Rhinolophus ferrumequinum: one gene and its partner. The protein of the gene in region 2 purifies or fractionates together with the protein of the main gene of each other region. This does not show direct contact. Links are inferred from orthologs where the notes say so. Each region holds a gene or a part of one and is shown on either strand. Other genes may lie near its edges.

Region 1 (7,439 bases), on a different chromosome or scaffold from region 2:
TATATGCCAGGCACTGTTATAAATGCTTTACAAATATTAAGTAATTTAGTCCTCATAATGACCCGATCATTACCCCCATTTTGCAGGGGGAACAGAGGCATGGATGGGTTAAGTGATTTGCCCAAGATCACTCAGCTGGTAAGTGATATTTGAACTGAGAAAACTATTGATCCTGGGGGTAATGTTGCTATACTTACAGTCATTTCATAGATGTTCTCTAAGTGCCTGATAGACACTGGGAATAAAATGGTTCATATAACTTGATGAGACTCTTGTCCAGTTTAATGTCTATCCTGGAAGATAAATGAATAAACAATTCAATAAAGTCATCAGGAAGTTCTCACATTCCAGGCCCGCATCCAGGTTGGCCAAACCTGAGCACTTGGTAATGACGTCAAAAGTGGTAGGGCCAGGACCCTCAGACCCCACACTTTGGAAATGACTTGGCATCTTGTGCGAGTCTGCTCATTTCTTGGAGAGTTCTCCCCCAGCCCTCTGCCAGATAAACCAAGTGCTTTGGCTTCACAGGGAACCCCTAGCCTAGTACAGGTGGCTAGTGCCCAGAAATAAACAGTCCAGCAAGGCTGCAATAGGAATGGAGCCAGCATTGCAGTGGGGCACAAACAACAGTGTGGTCAGGGAGACAATACTGAAACTAAGCCTGAGAAAATGACCTGAATTTTCATGGCTGACAAGGAAGTAGAGTTAGAGTGAGGGTGGAAGTCGGTTTGAGTAGCATAAACAAGACCCAGCCTGTGTGACATGCAAAGAAGTTTGGCCCTTCTCATGGAATTGATGGGTAACGACTGCATGGTTTTGAACAGTAAAGTTATACGATCCAATTTGCATTTTAGAAAGATATTTCTGGCAGCTATTTGACAGGTTGATTGGAGAGGGACTACCCTAGAAGCCAGGAAATAGGCGAGAATCAAGGTGACAGGAGTTGGTATACAGTAGAAGGGATGGATTTAAGCAATATACAAGAGGTAGACTTGATAAGATGTATCCACCAGTGACATAGACTGCTAGCCTTACATCAATAGCCATCTCCCTTCTTCAATTCTTAATAATGTTTTAGCTGGGTATATGACTAGAGACTACATTTCCCAGCCTTCCTTGCACCTGGCCAACTTCTGAGCAGAAGTTAGTGGTGTCCTTAAACAGCAATATACTTGTGCTTCCCACCCCAACCTCCTTCTCAATGGATGAGATTCAGATATAATAGTGGAAGCTGCTTGTGCCACATTGGACACAGAGATGGAAGCTACATTTTGAGAATGGCAGAGACGCCCCCCCCAGATCTGGAGGATCTATTTTGGGGTTATCACTTAAGCCATTGAATTTTTGGGACTCTTTGTTATAGCAGCTTGGGCTGTATTAATTAGTTGACCATCCTTTGGATATGCTCAATAAAGAAGTGAGAAGCTCCTGGATGGATGATGGTGCTGTTAATTGGGCCAAGAGATACAGAAATGGGGTAGGGTTGGGTAGAGTGGGATGGAGTAGAAGATTAATTTAGTTTTGAATATGTTGAGTATGAAATGTCTGAGAACAGTGGTGTGTAGTAAATGTTTTAACAACCAGTTCTTTTGGAAAGGGGAGCCCTGATCTGAAACACTTGCCAATTTCCATGATGTAAATACACCCACCATGATGATTACAAGTTACTACTGTCTACATGACTTCACTGAACAAGGAGTGTGGAAGAGAGGTACACAATGGGCTCTTGTGAGCTGGCCTGAGCTGGCACAAGCTGACTCCAGCACACCACTGTCTATGAGCATCCAGATGGAGATATTCAGTCTGCAGTTGGACATATACCAAGTCTGCACATGGGGAAAGACATCTGGGCTGAAGATAGAGGTTTGAGAGTTATGAGCAATTAGGGGGTAGTTAAAGACACAGTAATGGATGAAGTCACCAGTGAATAACATGGAGAGTGAGAAGAGGAGACTGAAGTCAGGATCCTGGGAAAAACAATGTTTACAGAATGCCCCGTGGAGAAGAAGGTCAAGGAGAAGCCTGAGAAAGAACAGTCAGAGGAAGGAGGAAGTGTCCCATTACCTGTCAGAGCCAGGTTCTTCCAGGTGCTCCAGGGCTTCTGACTTCTCAGAGAAATTTGTCATCCACTGGTCATCCCCTACCTGTCCGTATCCTTCACCTCTCCCTCCACCCACCCCATACCACCTGTCATTCCCATTATCATCTAAACAAACTCCAGTAGCTACCATCAAAAACAAATACAACAATACCACATTCTCCTTCCACTGATGCCGCCCCTTTCTACACCCCCTCCAAGCCAAGATTCCCAAAGCCTTGGCCACTTTGTCTCCACTGCCTCATTTCTCACTCACCCTCAGCCCACTGCAAGCAGAGCATCCATTGCAAATGTTCCAGCAAAGTCACCAGTGGCCTCCACGTTACTCAATCCTATGCGCACTTCTCAGTCTAGTCTTGCTTCATCTCTCTGCAGCATTCAATACAATTTACCATTCACGTTTTGGAACACTCTTTTCTTTTGGATTCCGGATCTCCACATTTTCCTGATTTTCTTCTTAGCTTTCTGGCTTCTCCTTTGGCAGCTTGTCTGCCTCTGCTTGACCTCTAAATGTTGGAGCTCCTCAGAGCTTGGTCTTAGGCCATCTTGTCCTTTCCCTGCACCTCTTTATGATTTCATCTGCTGTAAAACGCCACTCACTCTCAAGGCTCTAATCCAACCCAGACTCTGCTGCTGAGCCCCAGACCTGCTTGGACAGCCACCTACTGAACATACTTCCTTGCACCTCTCCTAGGACCTCAAACCTAACGCATCCCAACTTAAAACTGATGGTGTCCCTCCCAAATGTTCTGCTCTCAGTAAGTGGCACTTCCAGGACACCAGTACTAATTGTTATTTCAATAATCATCTACCATCTCTTTCCCCTGTAAACTGTAAGCTCCCAGCAGGCAGACCAGGGTGCATGTGTTCACGTTTGCATCCTCAGCACCCAGGACAGTGCCTGATAGAACACGGATCTGATAAATATTTGCTGGATGAGTTAAAACAGGAAAGCCTATTAGCACAGAAACCAAAGTGAAAGGAAGCAGTCAGATGCCCTATAGAGATGAACAAAATTGGGTTCTAGTCCTAGGCTGATAGTTTTCTAAGTGACGTTAGGGAAGTCACTCTGCCCATCTGTAGATTGAGAGGAAATCGAAGTATATTATCTATAAGGTTCCTTCCAAGTTCTAACATCTAATTGACATCTATTATCTACTGTTAATATAACACTGAATTGGTAAGTGCACATAAATGGAATTTGGACATAACTAAGAATGTGACTTTTTCTTTTCTTTTTTTTTTATACTTCCAGCATTTTTAAAATTTTATTTCTCTAATACAGTTGACATACAATATTTTTTCTTACTTTCTTTAAAAAATTGTGCTTAGGGAACTATTTGTAATGCTTTAACAGAGGCTAAATGAAAAGTGTCTGTTTTGATACTTTACTTTTAAATTGCATGAGGACTCAGTGAAGGTTATTCACTGATTTAAACTTTCCAAAGCATTTTTACAATCCGTGGGGAATCATAACAATCCAACGTGACTTGGACAGGTCAACATTCTCATTTTACAGAGGTGGAAACAGGCCTATACAGGTACTTACATTTTCATCCCTTTACAGAGATGGCCCACAGGAGGTTTCATCAAGAGTCTAGACTGTTTGTTATTCATTGCACAGTGAAGTCGCTAAAGCTGCCTTGGTTCATGTCACAGTATTGTCGTGAGGATTCCACAAGTATGAGTTATTATTACAGTGTCATGCAGATCTGTAAAGAGTTCTACAAAATCCCACTTTTGGTGGGAAACTGCCTGGGCAAGACCCTTTTCAAGGCAGTCCCACGTTCCCGAGAGCCGGCAGTGGGCCCCATTCATTCCTGCTCAGGGACTTCCAGAATCACAGCCCTCTCCCTCCGCCTCCTGGAGGCCTCCTCCTACCCAGTCCTGCCAGGGTCAGGATCTCTGAAACTCCGTCCCCTGAAGGGCGTGGTCTTACCAGGGTGGGGGCGTGGTCAAACCGAGAACTGGGGCGTTGAGCTTCCCTTCCCAGTCTGGAGCCACCCAATCCGGGAGGGTAGGTCACGTGACCAGAGAGCTGTTTCACCCTCCCTTATGCCGATACCACCTTTGTCAGTCCCAGGGGGAATGTCTTACTCCCTTTCGGGAAGCAAAGCATTAATTTTAGTCCGTTTTGCGTCGAAATAGCGTGGGGCAATATCTTCGTTTTGACAGAGTCAGTCTTTGCCCCTTAGGTGGTATTTTCCCTTCCGGTCTCCCCCCACTAGGTAGTTGGTCTCGCCCTGCCGGGCCCTGGGCGCGGCGGCGACGGCCGCGTCACTGGCGGGCGGGATCCCTCCGCTCTGGGGAGAGCAGCGCTGGACTGTTGAGTTGGGGTGACTGAGGAAATCCATCCGCGTCGCCGCCGCTGCCGCCTCCGCCGCGGAGGAAGACAGGACCTCCCGCGCTCCTCTAGCGACCCTTCGCAGAGTCCCACCGCCACAGGTACCTCCGGTGACAAAAGGAGTCCTCATCTCCCCCAGCCCCAAATTCCCTTGAGGGGAAACCTCTCTTTCTTCTGTTTCCCCGATCTGGCCTCTTGGGAGCGGACGTAACTCCCCAGACCTCCCCTCCCTTCCTTCGGCCCCGTCGCTTCTAAACCCGGAAGGGGAACTGGGGGACCCTCATCCCCAATAACGCACGCGCTCCCTGCACCTTCAGGCGCATTTTATCTGACCTCAGATCCCATCCCGGCCTCGCCTGCCTCTTGCTCCCTGAGAAGTTGGGGGGCACATTCGGGGCTTTCTCTAGGCCCTTTCTGCCCCCCCACCCCCGTTTGCCCCTGGGTAGCACCCCTCGTGTCTTTCCATTTCGCACTCCCGCCAGTATTCGCCTTGCAAAACTCTAGAATCCTCAGAGAAGCAGGCAAGGCCGCGAGGCCACCCTTCCCTTCGTCTCTATCCTAACCTCGATTTGGGTTCTGCCCGTATTTTCTGGCCCCATTACCCTGGACGGGAGTCCTCGGCACCCCATTCCCTTTACGAGTCTTAACCCCAAGTCTAGCTCCAGGGCGCCCCCACCCCTTGCCTAGATTTCTTTTGGGCAAAATGGAGGTCGTGGGGGCCGAAGGGCCAGGCTTACTGCGCTTCGCAGCGCGGCACCGGTACGCGCCTTCCAGCTGCCAGATCCAGGACCCTCCCTAGTCCCCTCCCCTTCGCCCCGCCAGACCTGCGGAGGCGGTGGCACCCCCATTTCTCCTTGGAGCCCCGGCTGCTCTGTGCCCAGAATCTGGGGACCCTGGAGGGCGAGGGAGCGTCGCCCCCGCCCCCAGCTTCCTTCTGCCCCGGGCCTTTGGCGTTGCCGCCAGGCCGGGACTGCTGACAGCTGGAAGGAAGGGGCTTTGTCTGGAGCTGAGAAGGTGGGGTGGAGGGCTTTGCCCCCTCCCCGCTTTTTCGGAGGGGCATCCCCTGGCGCTGGCTTAGAAAGCTGAACTGACAGCGGGAAAATGTCCGTGGGGAAGAGGAACGCCCAGGCCTGGGGGAAGTGGGAGCAGGGTGGGGGACGCCCGGGTTGGCAGAGTACAGTGTGCATGGCCAGATCACACAGGTGTCCAAAGGGGGGGGGGCAGGACTACGAGCCCTGGAGCGGAGCCAGCCAGGCCCCTGGGGCCCCGGCGACGAACCCGCAGACTGGGCTCCTGGGGTGCCGAGGACACAGGGCCAGGCCGTCTGGGGCCGCCTCTCGCCCGTCCGCCGGCGCCGGGGAGAGAGCAGCTCCGTGCCTTGGGGCCGGGAACCTCTCTTCCGAGCCCTAATTACTCGCGAGCGGTTCCCACGGGCTTTCCGCGGCGCGCTGGGGCGAGAGGCCTCGGCTCTGGAGGGAGCAGCGGTTTGAGACTGTCCTCCCCGCCACCCTCGCCTCCACCCCGCGCGGGCGGCTAATGGGGCGCAGCCGGTCTGGGGATTATCCAGGGTGAGCCGTCCCGAACCTATTAGTGCCCAATCGGCTTTTCCCAAATCCTGTAAACAGTCACCCGGTTCTGGGGAGGAGCGGGAGGCTGGGTCGGGCGGGGGCGATGGGGCCGGGGGTGGGGTCACCCACCCGACAGGTCTCTGCCGTGGATGTGGTTGCCTTGGCAACCGGGCTAGGGTGGGGGCACTTCACCAATGAGGTGCTCTCAGTCCGGGTGACGGTTGCCTAGGCAACCCCACGAACATCTCAGCTTCCCCCTCTGGTCTCCCCCCCTGAGTCTAAGCTTGGGGGTGTGTGTGGAGGGTGTGCGACGTGTGGGGGTGAATTTAGAGAGGCACCGCCCCTTTTAAAATGAGGTGCTATGAGGGCGGTGCCTGTGCGGGCAGGGGCGGACGCCAGGTCTGTTTTCGAAGGGACTCTCCCCGCCCTCTTGCCCCCCCAGTTCCTGTCGCGGGTGTCCCGCCCGGGCTGCTGTCCGAGGGAGGGGTTTCCCCTGCGCTTCCTCTTGCACTTCCCGCTCCGTTTCCGGGGGGCGGGAGGAAGATTGGGGAAGTCAGCTATTCCTAGGCCCCATCTTTTCTGTGCCAGAGGCCCCGGGTTCTGCAAAGGGGCTGCGGCCACCGCAGCCGCCCCCTCCCCCCCTCTACCCTGTGCTCACCCTTTCCGGCCGCATTCAACCCCGCCTTGCCCCCCTTCTTCCCCGCGACCTTGGGCCTGACGTCAGCCCTGCATCCCCCAGGCCTCGGGCCAGCGGCGAGGAGCTGCCTCCCCCAGCCCCCGTCCCGCGGCCCCCAGCCGCCCCCAACCCCGCCCCACGGGCCTGGCGCCATGAGTGAGCTGGAGCAACTGAGACAGGAGGCTGAGCAGCTCCGGAACCAGATCCGGGTGAGGGCCTGGCCGGCTGAGCTGGGAGGGCTGAGTGGGCAGGGCCAGGCATCTGTGTGCTGGGCAGGGGGAGGGGTTCTTTGTGTGTGTGAGGGGTAACCTAAACCCCCTTACTGTCTTATCCTCTCCACTCCTGTCTCCTGCGTTTCTTCTCCCCCTCCTGGTCTTATCTCCTGCCTCTTTCTGACTGACTCTGCCATCTCTTGTAGGATGCCCGAAAAGCATGTGGGGATTCAACACTGACCCAGGTGAGATGAATCCAGGGCTGGGCTTGGGGCTTAGGAAAGGAGCTCCGGTTTGAGGCATACTGCTTAGTGGGCCCTGCCTCCTGACCCGCCCTGACCCATTCTCCCTCTACCTCTAGATCACAGCTGGGCTGGACCCAGTGGGGAGAATCCAGATGAGGACACGGAGAACCCTCCGTGGGCACCTGGCAAAAATCTATGCCATGCATTGGGGGACAGACTCAAGGTTTGTGTGCGGTGGGGGCTGGGTGTGAGCCTTTGTGTTTGCCCCAGGACTAAGTGGAGCAGGGAGAGTTGGG
Region 2 (7,688 bases):
ATATGAATGATGTTACAGTAAGAGAGACTCAGGACATCAGGGAAAGCAAATCTGCAGCCCGAAGAAGTGAGTACAAGGGGAGGGAGAGACACCCCTGCTCAAAAAGTCAAGCTTAGGATTGACCCTACCTCCCTCTTGAGGACCTCTTGGGGCATAAAGGGTGAATAGTAAGAAGGAGAGAGGAAGGCAATACTGGCTGGCGGAGGTCTCAAATTTAAAACCAACCAACCAATGTCAGGCCCCCTCTTCAGACCTTCTAAACCAGAATCCCCTGGGAACGAGGCTGATGACTCTATGCCTTTAAAAGCTCCCTACATAACTCTTGTGCTCCTTGTTTAGCTCCAGTCTGCAGGTGGGTGTTTGGGAACCAATGATCTGGTCCATTTTACACATAAGGAAATTGAGGCCCAGAAGAGAGTGACCTCATTCATTCATTCCCTCCAGTAGCTTTCCAGTACATGGGGAATAAATCCAAACTTCTAACCATGGCCTATGTAGGACCCCGCAAGACTGGATCCTGCTTTTCTCTTCACCCTCATCCTCTACCACTCCCCCTGTCACTTACTTCCCTCCAACCACATTGGCCGTTGGGTTTTTGTTCCTGATCAAGCTAAGATCGTTTCTACCTCAGGGCATTTGCACTTGCTGTACTTGTTTCTAGAATCCTTCGTAAGTCTCAGCTCCTCAGAGACACCTTCCCTCACCACCCTACAATTTACCCCAGCCCACTTCTGTATTGACTCTCTAACACATTTACCCTGTTCGCTTTTCTTCAAAGCTCTTAGCACTATCAGCAATTATTTATCTATTTACTTTATTATCTACACACACACACTAAAATGTAAGCACAGTGAGGGCAGGGAGCCTGTGTGTTGTATTCTGGATCCCATCCTGGAAGAGTGCCCCCCCCACACAGATGATACTTAATAAATATGTGTTTGTAAGTTAATTAATGGATTGGATGCAAACCCAAATACTTGCTGGGCATCTTCCCATTGCATGCCAGATACTGTGCCAAGGGCTGGGCAGTGTCACACTGCCAGTCAGTGGTGGAGGGGTGGGCAGGGAGTGGCTGAAGGCAGAAGTTTTTTTTCAGTCCCAGATCAGACCATGTGAGCTGGGACAAAACTTCTCTGGTCATTTGGTTCCTCAGGCAGCTTCCTCATCTCTGGTGGGGTCATGAAATTGCTGCACTCTAACCTCTACCTTTCTCTAGAAGGGTAAGGGGTAAGGCCAGGGCAACCCTGCAGGAAGGCCAGTGGACTGACAAGCAAGGTGGCACCATGGGGGCTCCTTGCTAACAACACTCAAGGCCAGTCAGTGAAGAAGAGACGTGGAACCTATCAGAGCAGGGTACCCAGAGAAACCTGGGTGCCTCCAAAGTAGCCTGAGCCAGGCTAGAGCCAAAGGGCAGACCCAGAATCTTCTGAGCTGACCCTCCCCTGTTACTCCTCCTTTCCTTTCTATTCCACCAGCAGTTAAGAGGTGCTCATTTGCATGCAATTTACATTTCATCGCATGTGTAACCAAGTGCCTTAAAAAGGCAAACCATCAACCCAGGATGTTAAAACCAGAAAGGATAGCAGGTCTTGTTCTAGTTCAAGACCTTCCTTTGGAAGGTGAGGAAATGAAGGCCCGATGGAGCATTTGATCTCCACCCATATTTCTCAGCTCAACTCTCCTATACTGTTCCCACTTGGACTGGCATGTGGAATTCATCACTGGATTTACCTATCAACTCAAATAGGAAAACTGTCTGGTTGGGCCCAGCTCTGGGAGGCAAGATCCCTTTTGGTCTTGGACCAAAGTTAAGTCTGGAGATCAAAGGTTTGGGATCCATCTTCATGGTTGACTGCTTATTTATCATGCAAATTACTCTGTTTGTAAACTCAATGGACCCTGACCAAGAACTCTGCTGTTGACCCTAGCCTGCCCTCTACCATTGCCCAAGGGTTTCCTGACACCTGGTTGGGGTGGAGGAAAGGGGTGGTGGAAATGTGGAAGGCCTGGGAACCAGGCCCTGTGAAAGAGCAGTGCTGAGAAGTCGCCTAAACCCTTCCTAGGGATTTGCTCCCCAAAGATCCTCAGAGAGGCCAGGAAAGGTCACTGGTTGTGTGGTCTAGTAGTGTTCTGCATGAAGGAAGCAGGAGTCCAGGGATTCTGACCTGGCTCAGAGCTTCGTATGCCCTGGGTGTTTTGCAAGGGCTACTTCACCTCCCTAGAATTGACTTTTGTTATCTATATGTATCTCTCATTCTTCTGATGAATGGTGATCATCGTAATAAGAATAATAATGGCAACAGCTACCATTTATCCTTGCCTTCTTAAGGGGCAGACACTGGGCTAAATGCTTCAATACGTTATCACACTTAACCCATGTGACCCCTGTGAAGGAAGGTATAAGAATAGAGGGGAAACTTGCCACAGGTCCTGTAGTTGTTAGATGACAAAGTTGGAAATTGGATTCAGGTCTTTGTGCCCTCAAATCCTGTGTGCACACTGTGTGCAAATGAGAACCCACCCGGAAGTGCTTTGGACATGCAGAAGTTATTGAAGGACTGGGAAGGAGCGCTTCCATTCTTGTGGACGAGAGTGCCTGCCAATGCTATGAGAATGGAGCTGGCTTATAAGCCGTGTTCCATCTCATCTACAAGTTGGTCATTTCATATCTACACAGACAGAAATTGTACCCTGGGTAGCATTTTCAACTAGAGGTTTGGTGGGTGTGCTCTGGAGTCAAAATTACGGGTTCAAATCCAGGTTCTGCCACTAGCTTGGAGACCTTGGGAAAGTAAGTTAACCTTTCTTAACCTCAGCCTCCAGGTTGTGAAATGGGAGTGGTTCTCATCTCACAGGACAGGGGTGAGGATGAAAGGAGGCACCTGCCTAAAGTAAGGGAGCAGAGCTTTTGAACTGTTGTTATCATTGATTCTCTTTAATCTGCCATTTTCCCATAAACACTTGCTCCTCTTATTTATTTATTTTTTTCAACACTCCTACTGATCTAGGAGGTCCCTGTGCCTCTTCCCACCGTTTGGTTAGAATAGTTAGAAAAGTAAAGTTTTGCCCAAGGGATAAAAAGGTTATCCTGTAGCTCTTAAGGGTGCAGAGGAAACTGAGGGCAAGAGTCATAAAGCATGTCAGGGAGGCAGGAAGGTGGAGAGGAGAGAGCTCGGTTTCAAAAGTCAGAAGGCCTGGGCTGATGCCTGACTCTACTGTTTCCAAGCTGTGTGACCTTGGGCAAGTCACCTCACCTCCCGGTGCTGCTATTTCCTCATCAATAAAATAGGAATAATAATATTTGCCTCACAACGTGCTTGTGAGGATTAATGAACGAACAGAGGTGCTCAGTTGGTATTACGTTTTTCTCGTCCCTCTTTCCTTGATTCAAGAATCCATCCACATGCTCAGTCCTGGGACAACCACGCAAATTAGAAAACTGTTCTAAAATGCCAATATCCTGGTCTTTCATTGGTAGCCTGCTTCCAGCAGTCAGGTTCTCCATCCCCTCCACCCCCATTCCAGACCCCCTCTCTTTAACCCACACTAGTCTGATGTCTCTCCACTCTCCCTCTCTTTCTCTACACGTTCACTACAATGTTTGGGAAGTTCTGAAGCCTTACCTAGAGCCAGCCTGAAAATGAAATGATGGCACCACCATCTGTGTGAGGACGAGGCTTTGGGCCTGAGGATTTGCATGAGAGGCTGGGAAGGAAGGAGATGGACCTAGGGTGAGGCCTGACAACGGGATGGAATAGCACGCCCTGCCCAAACAGCTCTGAGGCTTTGGGACAGAGTAGGGGCACAGTGGGGGCGTGGGTAGCAGGAGGTCTCCGGGGACTGGGTTGACGCTGAGGCCTGGAGGGGGAGGATTTCTCCGCCAAAGCCCAGGACAAACACCTGTCAGAATGGCTCCCACAGCCTCACGCTGGAGATGGGCTCTGGGCCCCTGGAGGGGCTGGGGTGACGTGACGGGGCCTGTACAGGCTCTGCCTACCTGCACATAGTTGTCCTCGCAGTAATCGGCCACTCGCAACAGGGCGCTGTGGTTGCTCCGCAGAGCCTCCCGGCCCGTGGGGATCTCAAACTCCTGCAGCTGCTGCAGCTCCTCCATCGCCCCCAGCCTCTGACAGGCTCCCCAGGGAGCTGCTGGTTTTGTGCCTCACCCTGCCCTTGATTGGTTGCCCTGCCTTACCCTCCCTCTTGCTGCTTTTGGTTTCCTCTTCGTGAGAGACCCAAACCTGCTTGCAAAGGGCAGTCATGCTCATTCCGGGACAAGAGGAAGTTAGTCCCTGCTCCCTAGGCCTGTGCCTCTCTGTCCCCTGCCCAAAGGAAGGGGGAAGCCAGTTGCCCCTTTGGGGGCCCAGCCCCCCAATCTCTCCCAACAGAGGAAGCTAAGGTCTGGGCAGTTGTGATTGCTCCCTGGGCCTGGAGAGGAAATGTTTGGCGGGGGGGTGGGGTGGGAGACAGAGGAGGAAGGGGGCTGGCCTGCTGGGGGGGGGGGTGGAGGTGGATTTTCCACTCATGGAAAAGGAGGAAAGGGCAGAGGGTGGGGGCTTCCTTGGGAAGCCCAGGGATGAGTCACCAAGGGACAGGAGACTGGAGGGAGGAAAGGATATGGAGACCAGTCAGGCTTGGGGCTGCGGAGTAAGGGAGTAGCAACAATGGAAAACAGACAATGCCGCAGCAAGAAGAACCCGGCCGATACCAGGAAGATGCAGCCAGAGGACCCCTGAGAAGTGTTATCAAGCCTCTGAAGCGTTCCGTGTGGTGACGATCTGGTGTACAAGCTCTGTGCCCGATGGAGGCAGGACAAGGTGAAATGGACCGAGTGTATTGTGAGAGACTCAGACTAGACGACAGGAAGGACTTGGCTTTGAGAAGCAGCAGGTTCAGTTTCCAGATGAACTGGTCAGGTTGAGGAAGCAGCGGTGTACGATAGAGCACTGAGCTGGCCTTAGGAGGTAGGTGCTCTATTTCCTGCATTCACAGGGGAGCTGGACTGGATGACCTCCAGGGTCCTGTCCTGATCTCAAATTCTTAGAGCTCACAGTGGTGAGTGGGACTCAGATCCCGGAGCATGGGAAGTTAGGGTGGACTCAGGGCCCTCCCACTGCCGTCTGTCATCACAGAGGCAGGAGAAAAAGAGGATCGCTCAGTGACCATATCGGTCCCTTAACACCAGCTCCTTGAGAGGGTCCCCTTGTCATTGGACAGGCATCCGCTTGCACAGGAGCTCAGTGTCTGTCATCGTGGGTGGTCCTGGGAGGACAGCAAGAGAAAGATCAGGATAGAGGCCCTGAGCTGGAGGACTGCTGAGGGAGACCCACGCCCTGGAGCCTGAGGGAGGCGTGGAGGCAAAGAAGCACGGACACAGGCGTGAGAGGTGGCCATGGCCCCAAGTGCTAAATAGCACAGCAGCCTGTGTGAGTACATTTTTATTGGATGAGTGAGTGAAGAGTGAGCTGGGAAAACCTTGCAAGGTGAAATTGTGGGGCTCCAATGGGGGGCACAAAGGCTTATTGGTGAGGGAAGTTAGGAGATGGTCTAGGACTTGCCTCGTTGGGAAGAATAGCCTCAGCGCCCCCTCAGAGGTACGGGAGGGAAGGGCTTGGGACAGAAGGGGGGGAGCATGTAGGGCTAGAGGGGGTGAGAAGTGGGGAAATAGGCTCTAAGCCGGGAGGATCACTAAAGGAGTGGGGCTGATGCAGGGGGCAGGGGGTCTGCTCTGGTGGCAGGGACGGCTTGGAGGCGCAGGCCGAGGATGGGCTTAGAACCACGAGCCTGTGATCCGCTTAGGCGGCAGAGATTTGGGCTTCCAGACCATCTGCTTCATCCAAAGACTTTCAGCTGATGAGGAGCTGGGATACTCAAACATCATCTTGTCTGAGTCGGGGACTTGAAGTGCACGCTTTTTCTTGGCAGGTGAGAGGGGCTGAGGCTGTACTGAGCTGGATATAGTCTTAGAATTATGGAGGTTAGGTATCCGACAGGACTTCCTGATAACCATGTAGTGAAGCTATTGGTGATGATGGTGGTGTTAGGTGTTCACTATGTGCCAGGCAGTGTATTAAAACATGTTACTCGTATAATCATTAGTTTTTAGTACTCACAATAAACGTATAAAGTAGGTACTATTATTATAATGCCCATTTTGCTGATGGGGAAACTAAGACTCCAGGAGGTTGAGTGACTTGCCTCAAGCCACACAGCTTGGAAACAGCAGAGCCGGGATTGGAGCTAGAGTCTGACAGGCTCCAGAGCTCTTTTCTTAACCATTAGGGTACACTCTCCCTTGACAGGACCTGGGATTTTCTGAAAACTTCTATCTGTGTTGTATGTGGAACACTAACTTTGCTTCCCAAATCTTCCCCACTGAAAGAAACTCCTTTTGTCTCTCTTCTCCATGCTCTGATTCCTGTTTCCTCCACACACAGGTTCTTATCCGAGGGCAGAGTTGGTGCCACCCGCATCAGACTGGAAGTGTCCTCTCTTCCTGAGCTTAGACTCATGACAGAGGTGGGATGGGGAGGAGCAGGGGATAGATGATGAGCAATGAGGGCCTGAAATGAGGGACAAGGCAGAGATGAGGGTAGACGTTGAGGTGTGGAGAGCGCAGAGGAGGGAGCTGGGGAGTCCAGGAGATTTGCCATTCTGGCTGTGGAATCCTTTCCAGGACCAGGTCTCTCCAGGGCAGGATGGCCCAGGAGCTCAGCGAGAAGGAGCTATTGAGGATGGAGGTGGAACAGCTGAAGAAGGAAGTGAGGAACCCAAGAGCCCCGGTGAGCCTCCTCTTCCCTTTCTCATCCCTTCCTGTTCCTTATGGAGCCGGACAGGAAAAACAACGGGGTGGGGGGACCATGTCAGGGCACTAGAAGGAGCAGGAGGTGCCTCTGGGATGGGGTAGGATGTGGAAGGAGGCTGGGGTTTGACCCCACGGAGGTGCACAGGAGAGAACCTTTGCACCTGGCGGGCTCAGCGTGTCCAGCCCTGTCTAGGCCTGGGCCTGGCCCAGTGTCCCTCGCAGGTAAGAATCAGACTTTGTGGTTCTGGGCAAGGAACTCACACTCCTCTCACACCTGCCTGTCCCTTTCGTCTTTCTCCTCTCTGGCCGCCATCTCCATCCTGTCCAGAAGCCTGTTTTCTTGGGACTGACCAAGTCATGGATCCTAAACAACAAACAAGGGCTGGAACCATACTTCATTTTTTCACAGATTTCTAAGACGGGAAAAGAAATCAAGGATTATGTGGAGGCCCAAGCAGGAAACGACCCTCTTCTCAAAGGCATCCCCGAGGACAAGAATCCCTTCAAGGAGAAAGGCGCTTGTATGATAAGCTGATGGCACCGGAGCCCGTCACCCTGAATGTCTGTCCCTCCTTAGCCCCACTCCTCACCCAGAACCAAGTGTCCTGGGACTCCCAGAGAACCAGTAAATTTCCTCCTTCTCTTAAGTCACAAAATGAGTAGGTAAAGGTGTCTGGCTGTATGCACTGTGAATTCATTCCCCGACCCCACTTTCAACTCTTTTCTCTCCACTGTCTCCTCCACCTGCTGGGTCCCTGTTGACCCCGCTTGGAAACACTGGGATCTTTCCTAGCTTTGCAGTTGGCCCCATGCGTGGTGGGTTCTGAAGAGCCTGCGATACCCTGAGATCCCAGAGGGCAGACTTAGGAGACATTTGTGCCTC

The links. The genes of interacting proteins can lie anywhere in the genome.
Region 1: the proteins of GNGT2 (region 2) and GNB2 purify together in Homo sapiens (affinity purification with western blotting; 3 studies listed by BioGRID and IntAct, with this or other methods). This does not show direct contact. The link is inferred for Rhinolophus ferrumequinum from reciprocal best matches to the Homo sapiens genes GNGT2 and GNB2.

What each region holds. Positions count from the first base shown.
Region 1 is NC_046290.1:90,949,937-90,957,375, forward strand, and holds the start of GNB2 (guanine nucleotide-binding protein G(I)/G(S)/G(T) subunit beta-2), read left to right. Parts: upstream 1-4,376; 5' UTR 4,377-4,543; intron 4,544-6,749; 5' UTR 6,750-6,838; coding exon 6,839-6,895; intron 6,896-7,104; coding exon 7,105-7,143; intron 7,144-7,259; coding exon 7,260-7,366; intron 7,367-7,439. UniProt on the Homo sapiens protein: Guanine nucleotide-binding proteins (G proteins) are involved as a modulator or transducer in various transmembrane signaling systems.
Region 2 is NC_046304.1:34,068,191-34,075,878, forward strand, and holds the start of GNGT2 (guanine nucleotide-binding protein G(I)/G(S)/G(O) subunit gamma-T2), read left to right. Parts: upstream 1-4,614; 5' UTR 4,615-4,817; exon of another isoform or gene 4,818-4,964; intron 4,965-5,217; exon of another isoform or gene 5,218-5,426; intron 5,427-5,799; exon of another isoform or gene 5,800-5,925; intron 5,926-6,676; 5' UTR 6,677-6,698; coding exon 6,699-6,782; intron 6,783-7,066; coding exon of another isoform or gene 7,067-7,204; exon of another isoform or gene 7,205-7,214; coding exon 7,215-7,340; 3' UTR 7,341-7,688. Other genes in the region: ABI3 (ABI gene family member 3), read right to left, coding at 7,067-7,204. UniProt on the Homo sapiens protein: Guanine nucleotide-binding proteins (G proteins) are involved as a modulator or transducer in various transmembrane signaling systems.